Linked DNA regions of Arabidopsis thaliana. The protein of the gene in region 1 interacts with the protein of each later gene in a pairwise test. Each region holds a gene or a part of one and is shown on either strand. Other genes may lie near its edges.

Region 1 (6,823 bases):
CATATAATTATTAAAAAAAAAAATTGAATTTTAGGTTTATTAATATTAACTTGTATAAGTTTACAACTGAATATAGTTATAAACTTCTAATGTAAATTGATAAGTTTCCAAAATATTAATGAGAGACGCTTTAGGTTTCTAATATTTTTTGGGTATTAAACATTCAAATAAAAAATAATTTGAATTTATTTTTGGAATTTTACCAAATTAAACTTTACGACAAAGTTCCCTAATTTTGTAAAAATAACATTAAGATTATAATATTATATTAATAATCAAATGAGTATTCTCAATTAGGGTTCAGAGAAAGTGAAAAACTGGAGCGATAGACCATGGAAGAGAAGACGGGAAAGATCGAGAGAAGAACATAATCTTCTTCGACAATGTCCTCACGTGATAATGATACATCTCAATCAGACCATGTTCCTTTGGATTTAACCATTGAGATACTCTCAAGACTTCCTGCGAAATCGGTTGGGAGATTTCGCTCCGTCTCTAAGCTCTGGTCGGCCAACACCACCAGTCAAAATTTCATCAACTCCTTTGCGACTGGGTCCTTGGCATCGCGGCCTTCTGTACTGCTAACCGTCCGAAAAGGTGACATTCTGTTCGTTTTCTCGTATCCCGTAGACAAGAATAGTTCCGATGGTCAATTTACTTGTGTGGGAAGTTATCAATTGACAAACCCTAATTTTGGTAACCTCTCTCGTTACCACTTTCTGAAATGGACCCAATACAGAACAAAAAGCTACACTTCAAAGATGTTAGTAATGCTGGTGAGCTTATTTTTCACCTTTTTGGTTTTCTAAATCGGTTTATATTCTATATTTTGATTTCAGGAGAAACAGTATTAGAGAAGTCGAAACTGTGGGTGATGAAGTTAGACTTTCTGACAAGTATATGTACACCATGAATGTTTACCCAAATCACATCGAAAGTCTTGTGTCTTTGTGAAGTAGCGCCTTCATCGGTCATGTTTTCTTTGTTTTCACCTTTGACCCTTAATATGTAAGGATAATACATAAGTGAAGAAAGAAGAAGAAGCATGTCATATATTCTCACTCCATCAAAGTTTATTTTTGCACTTTAAGAAGGAAATAAGCACGGAGGAAATGTAATAGTTTCTCTCAATTTTATTGATTAGCCTAATAGGAGGTTTATTTATACAAATATATAATTTGTTTAGCAAGTTTTTTACATTTAGGATAATTCTAAATATCTTATTTAATAATAGGAAGATATACACAAATATTATGTTTCCTAATAACAATAAGGAAATATATTTCACAACGATCTCGTAATCCCGAGATCTCCTAACAACTATTTTGCTGAATAGTGACAGACACTTGTTCTATTGTTGAATATGTCCCAGCATAATATTTTTAATTAGTTATAAAAGATTTTTAGCAAATGAGAAATAGAACCATGTTCTTCTTTTAGATTAACTAACATATGAATAAACCATATGAAACTCTGTTTTTGGAGATAACAAGTTTGACTTTGAAGCCAAGACTAAACCTCCACTCTTTTCTAACGATTTCTGTGATGATCTCAAGATCTAGAAGCACCGGATATATTGAGCTCTATCCTCAAACTCTTCTATAAACTTGGCGACTTTATCAATATCCGGCACCACATTCTTCACCATTTCATTTGACAAAAACTGGTTGGCCCATCTATAAAGAGAAGGAGTTTTTAATTCGTCTAAAATCTTTTCGTTTTTAAGCTTCTCTCTAGCTTTTAAGAGAACTAAAAAGCTTCCAAGGCAAATGTCTATGAACCCGATTGTTTCACCGCCAAAAAAAGATTTCCCTTTGCTTAGAGCAATAAACGCAGCTTCTAGTTGCAACAACCCTTCTTCCACTTCTTCCATGCCTTTTGCTTTTGCTTCTTCCGATTTAGCGACCACAGCTGCCATCAAAGTCGGTAACCACTGCATTCTTGAAATGGAAAATTAGCGAAAATAGTGTGATACAAATTTGTTCTAAATCAAAATTAAGCTTAATGGTTTCTTCTTGATAAAATATTGATTATTTCATGGTAGGAACATCCTAATTGATTTTATAATGATCAAGTTTAAAACTCATTGAAGATATTTGGGACCAATTTCAATCATCCATCAAATTATTTAGAGTGATAAATAAATAGTTCTGTTTTTGTTGAAACAATGGGAAAAAGGACTAGATTTCAATTATTTTAAGCCGAATTTTCCACACTTCATATTGCATATTTGCATGGTCCATTTAATTTCAAATTTTCAACAATTTAGATATGCATAAACAATAAGTTTTTGTCATTCAAAAAATAAGATATAATTATTAGTATCTCGCTAAAAATATCAAAATTTTATTGCATAAAGTATTACTGATCACTCATAAATTAAATTTGTTGGACATCAGAAAAAAAAGACACAAAAAAAACTGACCTTGTCATCAACAAAGACAGACCAGAAGCGAGCAAGGGCACGATCATAAGGATGAGAAGGAAGAATGGACGATCCAGATGAGTTCCACGTCTCGTCGATGTATTCAACGATGTTAAGAGATACACAAACCGGTTTAGTGTTGTGGATGAGAACCGGGACTTTCTTGAAAATAGGGTTCGATTTGAGAAGAAGCTCACTCTTAGATCCGAACAAATCCTCTTCAACGTAATCATAATCAACCGATTTGAGACGAAGAGCGATCTTTGCTCTTATCACGACCGGACTGTACCATGTTCCCAACAGTTTCACTTCCTCTCTCTCTCCCATCTTTGTTTTGTCTAAATTATTTTTAGTTTAGGTATACAATTAGGGGGTGTTATTGGTTTATATATGATTTCAAAAAAAAAGTTAGTGATTTAAAGTGTTATGTAGAATCTGTTGATATTCAATCAAGACTTTTTAAAAATATGTTAAAGTTTATGTTATTCAAATAAGATTTGTAAAAAGTAATCTAAAATCTTCATAAATTTGGAGTTATTAGATTCATACTCTTATAAAATCAGTAAAAGTTTTGTGTTATTCAATTAAAATATAATAATTTCTGATTGTTAATGATTTGAATTATTATGTTATTGGTTCATAACTTTCTACATTTTTTTCACAAAATAAAGTCATAGAAAGTCATGAAAAATATTATTAAAATAGAAAAATTATTTGAGAAATTTTACAAAATTATAAAAGCTAATCAATAAAATTATAAAAAATTCTCTAAATAGTTTATAATCTTTCTTTTATTTACTTTTTAGGATGTGATTAAAGTCATCAAAATTTTTTATAAATTAGGAACTAATAATATCTTTAGAAGAAACCACGAAACAACTGGTGAGACCAGTTTTGTGTCCTCCACGACTCTATTTTTTTTTTCTGCTTCTTAGTGAGATATTATTATATTAATTGGCGAAAACAACAAAATGAATATTGAATTTTTCCAGGTTGAGCCAATGAGGTAAAAGACGTATCATTTTGACATTATATTGCAAAAGACCAATAGACAAAACCCCACAAGGTAAAAAAAATAAAAAATAATCGAGACACTAGTCTACATATGACAACGACTTTGGTCCTTTTCTACACATCATATTCATCTCCAAGCTTGTAGGAACTGAAATGTTCGACCTTGAAAGTCCACTCGCCATTCACAGGATCATAAGACACAAACTGAGCTCCTTGTTCCCCAGCTTTCCTCTTGAGCATTTCCTTGTACTTGTCCAATCTCTCGCCTTCCATCACTTGCGTGCCGGTCTTCTTGTCCATACATTTTATGTTCAGCAAAGTTACCACCGCAGGCTTATTCAATCCTTGACCCACCGGCGGTTTTTTGCTCTCGTCCATGTACACATTCACTTCCCGGTTTTTGAACTGAACCACCATTTCCAGGTCGAGTCTACACACATCCGTCTCTCCTAGAAACTTTATGCTCCCGTAACCGTGTCTCCCAACAACAAAGTCCTTTACCCGCTTGCAATAACCCTGTTCAACCCTTTCTTTTGCAGCCAGTTCTTGGATCCGAGGCTCTGTGAAATATTCAGAGTGATGCAACTTCGGCATTAATGACTCAATATCTGCTCCACTTGGTGAACTGTGTGAACCGTTTTTGTCGCCTCCGTGATTTTCATGTGTCCCGTTCTGTTTCTGATTGACTTTTACCGGGGGAGCTTCACGAATTGCACCGTTATCCTTAGCTGCACATATTAACAGTAGAGTCAGTGAATGGCCTCACCAATGCACAAACTTTAATCACAATTTTGTTACAAATGCATATTTAAAATACTCACTCTCATGGTTGGCTCCATTAGTAACCCCATTCGACCTCTTACCTGAATTTCAAATGTAATAAGGGGTCAGATATGATCAAATTCAGCCACTATATTAATATGCAAGCAGATCATCTTCCGAGCTATTGGGACAATGAAAAGCTTCTTTTTGCAATTGAAACAAAGCTCTAAATCTTGCAATAAATAAGCCAATGAATGAAAAAAAAAAGGGAAGCTTACCGTTCTCCTGCAGTGGGGTCGGGCTATCCTTTGGATGTTCTGATTTTACCCTTTCAACTGGGCGTATAAATAAAGCTCTAGGGTTCTCCCTTGGAATGAAAAACGCATCAGCCTTTGGTGTACTGGAATTCTCCTCTTCATCGCTGAAGAATGGAACCTGGACAAACATTGGTGAAACAAACAGGTAGAAAGACCTTCAGTAAACATCACTAAAGACTGAAATATTCAAGACAAAGCCAAAATTCAGAAAATAGAAAAACATACCTTTGGACCATCATCACTAGGACGGTACTTTCTTGTTGGTAGCCTGACCCGCCTTTGTAAAAGGTGTCGAGAAGTTAGGAGTGGTGATACTCTAACAGGAGCAGGCTTATCAACGACCTGAGAAGAAAGGAAAATATTCAGGGTAATAACATGGAGTAGTCATTTGTTTCTGTAACATTGTATCTTTGAGAATATCTATATTTTATTTGCTTCAAATTTGGAAAGAAGTTATGAAGAAAAAGGGTGGTGTGTGTGGGTGTTGAAAAAGGCAGAAAAACTTACAGGCATGCTGGAGATACCATACTGAATCGAAGGTGAATTTCCACCTTGAGCAATTGAAATCTGAGGCAAAGCAGGAAGTGTTCCAAATGGGTTTGTAACAGGAGTTGGTTGCATAACAGCAGAGTTACCCAATGCAGGCCTGTCAACAAAACAAAACAAAAAGAAAAGAATTAAGCTCCAGAGACGCAACTTCCAAAGTACAATTAAACTAGTGGTATCTAGTCGGAAATAAGAGTCGGAAACACTGAGGTCAGAGAGACCATACTGTTGCTTAAAGTTTCCTTGGCTAAAAGTTCCCATTGCACCTGCAATGTCAGTTGTATTAGCTTCAGAAACATAAACATACAAGACTTGGCTTCGAGTATTCAAGATGATAATATTCAGGGTGCCTTTGACTGATTCACATACCTATTTGGGTTTGACCAAAGTTGTTGAAACCAAAAGCACCTAATGGTTGAGTTGGCTGAGCTGATTGAAAGGGCGTAACAGCAGGCTGCAAAAATAAACTCATATTAGAAATCCCTACATAACTCAAACGGAAGTGAAAGAGACATCAACTCTGAAGTGAACTGGCATTTAAATTAGTTACAGAAAAACTAACCGTTATTTGACCAAAGGGGGAGATGCTTGTAGTTAAGGATGAAGAGCTTGAAAACGTGTTCCCAAAGCCAGTGGAAGGTGTACTGAAAGTGTTGCTCTGTACAAGTGCAGGATTGGTATTCTGTCCAAACACAGAACTAGACTGTCCTAATGCAGGAGTGGTATTCTGTCCAAACAAAGGACTAGTCTGGCTGAATGCAGGAGTGGTATTTTGTGCAAATGAGGGGTTTGAACCAAACAGCGGAGATGACTGACTGTTGTTAAATCCACCAATGCTAAATCCTGGAGTTGACCCATGTGCAGGAGTAGAACCAAATATTGATGAACCAAGTGGCTGCGATGTGTTTGTTGTTAAACTAGAGGATGATCCAAAAACGGATGTAGTATTTGATACAGTTGACCTAAAGGATGGGGTAGTGGGTTGACCAAAGGATGGGGTAGTGGGTTGACTAAAGGAGGGGGAAAAATTTGTGTTACTTGTTGGAGTCGTCTGTGAAAAAGGGTTTGTTGGATTCACAGGTGTCTGGCTAAACGCTGGTGACGTAGAGAATATACTTGGCTGAGAATTTGTTACACCAAATCCAGCACCTTCAGGAGATTGACCAGTAGAACGTTGTCCTCCTGAAAATTGAACAACAAGAGAGTCAATATTTTGGTAAATAAAGTACAAACATCTAACCTTTAGACGAACGAATATCATGGATTTGTTTGGCATATGACCTTTATCTCCTCGCTGGTAGTCCTCCCACCTAAGCTCCTCCATGTTTTTCCCTTTGTGTGCAGGCATGGCAGATATAGATTGTAGTCTTTCAGACTTGCTTTCAGTGCCTGACGCTGTGTCAGTTGTAGGTGCATAAGGAATAACCCTACTCCCCCCTTGTTGACCCCCGATAGTTGATTGACCCCCAAATGTTGAAGTCGAAGCCTGTGCACCTGCAAAACAAAACATGTGAACATACTTAGTTACCATTTAACGGGTGCGAACTTTCACTTATAATTTGTAATTGCATAGGACTAGCTAGAGAACCTTGGGCTCCGAAGGGAGATGGTGTAGAACCTAAGGAAGATTGTGTAGAACCAAAGGAACTGCTACCAAATGCTGAGGTAGACTGTCCAAAAGCTGGGGAAGAACCGAAATTAAAAGATGGGGAACTTGATGCCCCAAAGGCAGAAGTGTTAGATGCCCCAAACGTAGGAG
Region 2 (6,823 bases), on another chromosome or scaffold:
ATCCAAAGCAACCAGTGTCACTGAAGTTCCTCCTAAGAAGCTCATACTCCTTAACTTTCAAACCACTCTCAAGAAGCTGCATTGCCTTCTCACCTCTCACAGTCACATAACACGCAATCTTCTCATTACGCCTGATACCAAAAGACCTCACAGTGTACCTCGCTGTATAACAAAAACCACAACATACATCAGAATCAAGATCAACACAAAATCAAACTTAAATCCCTGAAAGATTTCAAATTCACATACCCTTAGAGAAGACAGGGGTTTGTCCACTGAGCTGCTCCAACACCTATACGAAATAACCAAAAACAATAATTCAAATCTAAATCACTAAATCAATGATGGATAATCGTAAAGGTCAGATTTTTACAAACAAAATCGAACCTTGGAGGCACGAGTGAGACGATCACCACTCTCACCAACGGAAATGTTGAGAACAAGTTTCTGAACCTTAATGTCCCTCATGGGGTTCGAGAGCTTCTTCTCCGACGCCTGAGAAACAAAACAAAGCCGAAAAATAAACCCATTGAACTAAACACATTTTCATTGAATCGATCTACAGAGACGAACGAAACAAATACCATTTTAAGGAGATCAATGTCGAGCTAAGAGACGAAGCAGTGTAGAGTTTGCAAAGCCCAAAACTGCGTCGAGTGCAAAGTGAGAGAACTTATATGGGTCGGTACTTAGGGTTTCTTGAATTAACGCAATGACGAAATTACCCCTTTGATTTATTAAAATGGTTTAATGGGCCAATATTATAAAGCCCATAAGAAAAGCATAATCTTAAGCATATATTTGGCCTTCTTAGTTACATAAGGCAAATAGTCTTTCATTCGCCGAATCACTTTATTATGTATGAGTTTTAAAATTAACGATAGATAATTTTTTATGAGACTGTGGAAACGCAAATCTTCATTTATTTTTGGAAGAACAGAATAAATAAGAGTTATTGAGAAAACAAATTTTTACAGTTAATGCCATGACAATGACAACAAAATCAAGAAGACTAGTTAAGACACTATGAAGTCTATCATCGTGGTCCAGAGAGCTCAATGGCTTCAATAATAAAGGACTGCTCTTCATGACCATTACTGTAGTTCCTAGAGACACTTGGAGCTCTAGCTTCATACCCTCCTTCACACTGTTCCACTAAACCTTCTAGTACCTTCAACACTTGAGACATCCTCGGTCTTAGATTCGGATGTGGCTGTGTACAAAGCAAAGCCAATTCCACTACTTCCTCCAACACCAAATCATCAAACTCTCCCTTCAAATCTCTGTCCACCATCTCTGCAAATCTCTTCTCTGCTTTCAATGTCCTTACCTACAAAAACCAATGGTTTAGATTTAAGTTTTGTCCTTATGGGTTCAGTCTAAGTTGAGTAAATGACTCATAGAATTTTTTTACTTACCCAGCTCAATATCATTCCTTTTCGAACTTGACCATTGCCTTGATCAATCATCTTATGACCTGTTATGAGTTCAAGGATTAGTACTCCGAATCCGAAAACATCGGTTTTCTCTGAGGACTGTCCAGTGGAAAGGTACTCGGGAGCGATGTGTCCAATGGTTCCTCGGACTGCGGTAGTGACATGTGAATCTCTCTGGTCTAAAAGCTTTGCTAGACCAAAATCGCCAACTATTGCTTCAAAGCTCTCATCAAGTAGAATATTTGCAGCTTTGACGTCTCTGTGAATAATCTTTGGATTGCATTGCTCGTGCAAGTAAACAAGTCCTCGAGCTGCGCCGAGTGCAATGCTTATCCTCCGATTCCAATCTAGAGACGGCTTTTCTCCATAATTGTCTGAAACATGTAATCTTATAAGGAACTTTTCGCGTTATATATCGAAAGAATAACAAAACAAGAAATGTGTTAATTGAAAACCTCTCAGACGATCAGCTACGCTTCCATTTGGCATGTACGGATACACAAGCATTCTCTCTTCCGGGGTCATACAGAATCCAAAGAGGCGTAAAAGGTTACGGTGAACAGCTAAGCCAATCATCTCTACTTCGGTTTGAAACTGAACTTCTCCTGTATAAATCGGATCTTTCAATCTTTTAACTGCCACCACAGTTCCATTTGGGAGATACCCTTTATAAACCATCCCAAACCCTCCTTGTCCCAAAATGTTCTTTGGACTAAAATTGCTTGTTGCGGTTTGTATTTCGCGAAAACTGAACCTTTTCAGATGGCCGATTTCAAATTCGTAGTCTTGCTGCACTAAGAAATCCATAAAAAGTAATGCAGATTTTAGCAAAGTCTTGACATATATTGTATATGACAGACAGAGAGAGACTATTAGATATGTACCGTGTGATCTTGAGAGACGTGATCGATGCCAAAGCACCCAGAAGAAGAGAAACATTAGGGAGATGATAAAGGCAACAACAATGCCAAATGCAAAAGAGAGCACTAAGCTGTGATGTTTGCTATTGTCCTTTTCAGACAAACCCGTCGCTGCAGATCGATTGCAGCTAGTTAAATAAACGAAACCATGTTTTAAATAAAGTTTTGCAAAGAATTTTCGAAGCAACATACCATTTCTCACAGGTGTAGCATCTGAGCAAAGCTCTTGGGAAGCTGGACCACAAAGAAATGCATTTCCTACAATCCTAAAACAGAAAAGTTTATCAAGAAGCTTTCACATAAGTTGCAACGGCTAATAATCATGCATTTTTCGCATATCTTACCTGTAATCTTTTGCTGATATATTCGGAGTTGGTCCGCTTAGATTGTTGAAAGATAGATCCCTATTCAAGTTTTTCATAAATAAAAAAACATTAGTCTAAGAAACATTATACGAAATAGAAATTTCCTGGAGCTGTAATGTTAGGTAGAGTAAGACATACAAGAAAGAAAGACCTGAGAGGCCAGCGACGAGGTGAGGGACTTGCCCAGATAAAAGATTCCTGCTAAGCCGCCTACAAGACTTAACCTTGTAAGAAAATAACAATTGCAACATTAAGTAAATCAAGAATCTTTGCATCAAACTCACAAGTAGTTTAAGTGAGTTAAGAACCCTAAAGAAGCTGGGATTTCACCACTAAACCGATTCCCCGATAAATCAAGCGTTTCAAGCTCAGAGAGTTGGCCTAACTCAGAAGGAATCGGACCAGTTAACTGATTATTCTGAAGTAACCTACAATAATAACAAGTAACCCCATTAGTTACAACAACACATACTTGAATTCCAAGATTAACCACAAATTCATTTAACTCACAAAGTATGAAGATGAGTTAATTCCCCAATACTAGTAGATAGTATCCCTGATAATCCTTTACTAGCCATCTCTCTGCATTAAAGATTTCAATAAACTCAGCAAAGAAACGTTTCTCAGAGACATTTAGTCGAACAAGTGGTGTGCAAAAGATACTCACAGAGAAACCACAAAACCTTCAGAAGAACAACCAACCATGTTCCAAGTACAAGGATCAACAGAGTTAATATCCCAACCAGACAAAACCTCTTTCTCATCTTTCATCTTGTTCTTCACTGACATTAACGCAGCCACTACAATAACCCAAAAATATGGATTAAGTCAAAACCTTTTTACACAATAAAAGAAAGATCTTTGATACTTTTTTCACCTTCATAGTTAACACCCTTGGGAGATAAAAGACTATCCATGGCAGAAACAGAGTCAAGAACAGAGTAATAATAAACCCAGATTCCTAAAAACAGAAACTTCATCAAAGAAATCTCCATCGTAGAAAAAGTATAAGAATTCTCTAGACTTCAATGTTAGTTATCATTTGTATGCCCTTTCTTCTAGGGCAGACCATTTGAAACATTATAAATACATTAAAAAGATAAGTTTTTTTTGGCATTAAATTGAATCGAGATGAAGAAGAAGAAGAAGAAGACAAATAAAGAAATTGACGATTATAGCAAATGGAAGCGGGAAAATCCTCGAAGTTGTCAAACGATTGTTTCCTTGTCTTCTGTTCTGTAAGACTTTTTTTTGTTTTTATATCTGACTTTTGACAGTGTTAGTGAGATTAGATCCTCTGTAATCGGTTCTACGAGAACAATGGTACAACAGCACACTCTTGAATCTGATATGGTATTCCGATCAACGGCTTGATTTATCTTTATTTCACCATTGAAAAAGTCAATAATGCTCAAGACTAATGCTCGTATGAACGATATTGGGTTAGTAATAAGTTGGGTTAGTATGGAATAAATGGTGTGACACAATATTTGAATGGTGATGATTTTTGTAACAATAACAAAAAATAATTATCTTGCGACTAAAATAATTATCAAGTTTTAATTAATTTTTGATAACATTTCGAGTAATAGCAAAGTCTTCAAGCTTCAAGACTCTTAAAACATGCAATATAATGCTTATGTGCTCATGCACGGCTGATTTAGTCATTTTACCCTTTCTCCATAAATCTTGTTTAGCCTCATTTTACACTTTTTCGTTGCAATTAGGACATATAATTCCTTCATGTGTTAATGGTCCTCATTCCTCTGCTAATCGCTTCCATTCTCATACCATTTTAACATGAAATAATTCCGCGACGAATTTTCAGAGATCTATCCCAAAAAAACATTATGTCCTTGAGTTTTTAGTAGGTCTTGTACATACCGATACCCTTTATATCCTGCAATTAATAGTTCATTTGCAACTTCAGGACTATCCTTCGCCCAAGAAATGATCTTTGATTTGATAATAACGTCACTTGCTTGCTTTTCATCTACAATATCCACACCAAAGTCATCTCACGTAAGATTCTATAAGTATAATATTAAAGAACATTTTTCTAGAAATATAATATTAAATTTTTTTACCTGAAATGACTGAGGTAGAGTCGATATAGGTAGAATCAAAGTAACTGAAGGTACCGAGAAAAAGTTCATTAGGGTCACCAACCGCCTTAATCGTAACGGGGTCAACGTGTTTTGAGATACCATAATTTTCGGTATCCCAATACACAACGTTTTTGGCAAGTGTGTAAAAGGTATCCTTTTTTGCAAGTGCGTAACAACTATCCTCTTCAAACGGTAGAATTACAAACTAACTAAAATAATTTACCTTGTAATTCAGTAGAGTAAATTTTACAAATTCTTGTTTAAATTACTTATGTATTGGTCTTAAACAGCTTGGTCTTTTTAGTTTTGAGTTTGGATATAATTGATCTTGGATCTAATGCTTTCTTGAGTTTTTTATATTACCTATGTTAGTATGTTTGCATTTCTGCTACTGATCTCAAATCATTGTAAAATCTCTCATACATATCATTTAGAATGTGGGTAAAATTATACTATGAAATAGTAATAAAAGCGCAAATATATCATAAAGCAAAAATGTGAACGATAAGATGATCCAAACTAAATTCGAAATGGTATCAAAGTGGCAAAGACGGTCTATGGCATAATTCACCAAAGCCACTGCTTACGACATCATTAAAAATATAGAATTATTTTCTGAATATTGGTTAGGTTGTGTATGCACACAATTCGTCCATGTCATATTGTCATATAGTATTTTTATCATTTTTAAGTTAATGTTTTGCTAATGTGATTGTTTTTTCATATATTTAAAGATTTTGAACCATATATTATTTTGTAAAGTCACGTGGATCCACCATTTTTCGTAGGTGCATGAAATAATTTGAACAAAACTTACAAATATTAGTTTTGTAATTAAAATAAAAGATATTTTTAAATTTATAGTGTTAGCATCTTTCAATCATTTATGAAAATTAAATAATAAAATAAATATTGTATTATTTATTTTTTCTAAATATCAAATAAAACATTTTTTTATACAGTAAATTACAATTTTTTTCTTTTAAACTTGTTTGTTAAGTTTTATATTTTTGATTTCGCTTTAGGGAATTATAGATGTTTTGACTAATTTAATAGTTAAGTGTATTGAATAATAACTCGAGCAATTAAATTAACCATTAGATCACATCTCGTCCAAATCGTTGAGTTACCACAGAAACTTGAGATCAAGTGTTTGAATCTATCTCGGTACCCACTTCTCTTCTCTCTTCCTCTCTCTCTCTCTCATGTTGTTACGTAAATGATTTGGAGATTAAACTAAAATTATTATAATTTGAACAATTTTATTATTAGAGAAGCAATTTCTTTTTTCTCCTAGTGAATTATTATTATTGAAGTGATTAAACTAGTGTTTTCTACACCTATAAATAATGTTTTGCAGATGTAATTTGAATCATTTGATCAGTTAACGCAAATACCTAAACAAGAGTCCTAAGCTTCGCCGCCCGATAATAATGTATGATTTGATGCCACGTCAACAAAATACCATTCAAATTCGGTTTGATAAATTTCGGTTCGGTTCAGGTAAAAACCGTTTGGTTCGACCAGCCTTAAAAACCGAACCCTCTCTAAACTCGTTTGTCGTTCTCGCTCTCTCTCCGCCGCTTTCTCTCTAAAATGGTGATCGATGTTCGAAAAATGTTTCCTTTTTCCCGAAATTCACAGTAAAAAAGATATGAATTCTCTAAAATCTTTGAGATACAGTAGCATTAGAGAAGCTTTGACACATCAAAACCCAACAAAGTCTTCATTTTTATGCCCACTTTACTTCTACAATCAACGAAGATGGTTAAAGCCTGTAGATTCAGCACAAACAAGGTTAGAGAATCGAACAAGAGATCATCAATTAGACAAAATCATTCCCCAGATTAGGAAACTAAACATCATCCTCGAGATTTCAAAACTCATGTCTAGCAAAAAGCGTGGTCCTTTTGTTTCTTTGCAGCTTATGTCTAGATGGAAGAATCTCGTTGGTTTGAATGTAAATGTTGGAGCTTTTATCGGTAAGTATCCTC

Evidence for each region. The genes of interacting proteins can lie anywhere in the genome.
Region 2: the proteins of GSTU15 (region 1) and AT5G45780 interact in a protein complementation assay, tested with the Arabidopsis thaliana proteins (one large-scale study listed by BioGRID).

Annotation. Positions count from the first base shown.
Region 1 is NC_003070.9:21,925,964-21,932,786, reverse strand, and holds GSTU15 (glutathione S-transferase TAU 15), read right to left. Parts: upstream 2,778-6,823; 5' UTR 2,753-2,777; coding exon 2,426-2,752; intron 1,934-2,425; coding exon 1,559-1,933; 3' UTR 1,421-1,558; downstream 1-1,420. Other genes in the region: AT1G59675 (F-box family protein), read left to right, coding at 384-763, 840-954; AT1G59660 (Nucleoporin autopeptidase), read right to left, coding at 3,554-4,167, 4,261-4,302, 4,480-4,636, 4,744-4,860, 5,026-5,164, 5,291-5,351, 5,434-5,518, 5,627-6,246 and 2 more. UniProt on the Arabidopsis thaliana protein: May be involved in the conjugation of reduced glutathione to a wide number of exogenous and endogenous hydrophobic electrophiles and have a detoxification role against certain herbicides.
Region 2 is NC_003076.8:18,565,910-18,572,732, forward strand, and holds AT5G45780 (Leucine-rich repeat protein kinase family protein), read right to left. Parts: upstream 3,998-6,823; 5' UTR 3,717-3,997; coding exon 3,599-3,716; exon of another isoform or gene 3,522-3,598; coding exon 3,389-3,521; intron 3,304-3,388; coding exon 3,232-3,303; intron 3,150-3,231; coding exon 3,006-3,149; intron 2,932-3,005; coding exon 2,860-2,931; intron 2,761-2,859; coding exon 2,701-2,760; intron 2,623-2,700; coding exon 2,549-2,622; intron 2,468-2,548; coding exon 2,321-2,467; intron 2,231-2,320; coding exon 1,892-2,230; intron 1,811-1,891; coding exon 1,419-1,810; intron 1,331-1,418; coding exon 1,037-1,330; 3' UTR 889-1,036; downstream 1-888. Other genes in the region: AT5G45775 (Ribosomal L5P family protein), read right to left, coding at 1-162, 250-292, 388-495, 585-587; AT5G45790 (Ubiquitin carboxyl-terminal hydrolase family protein), read left to right, coding at 6,436-6,823.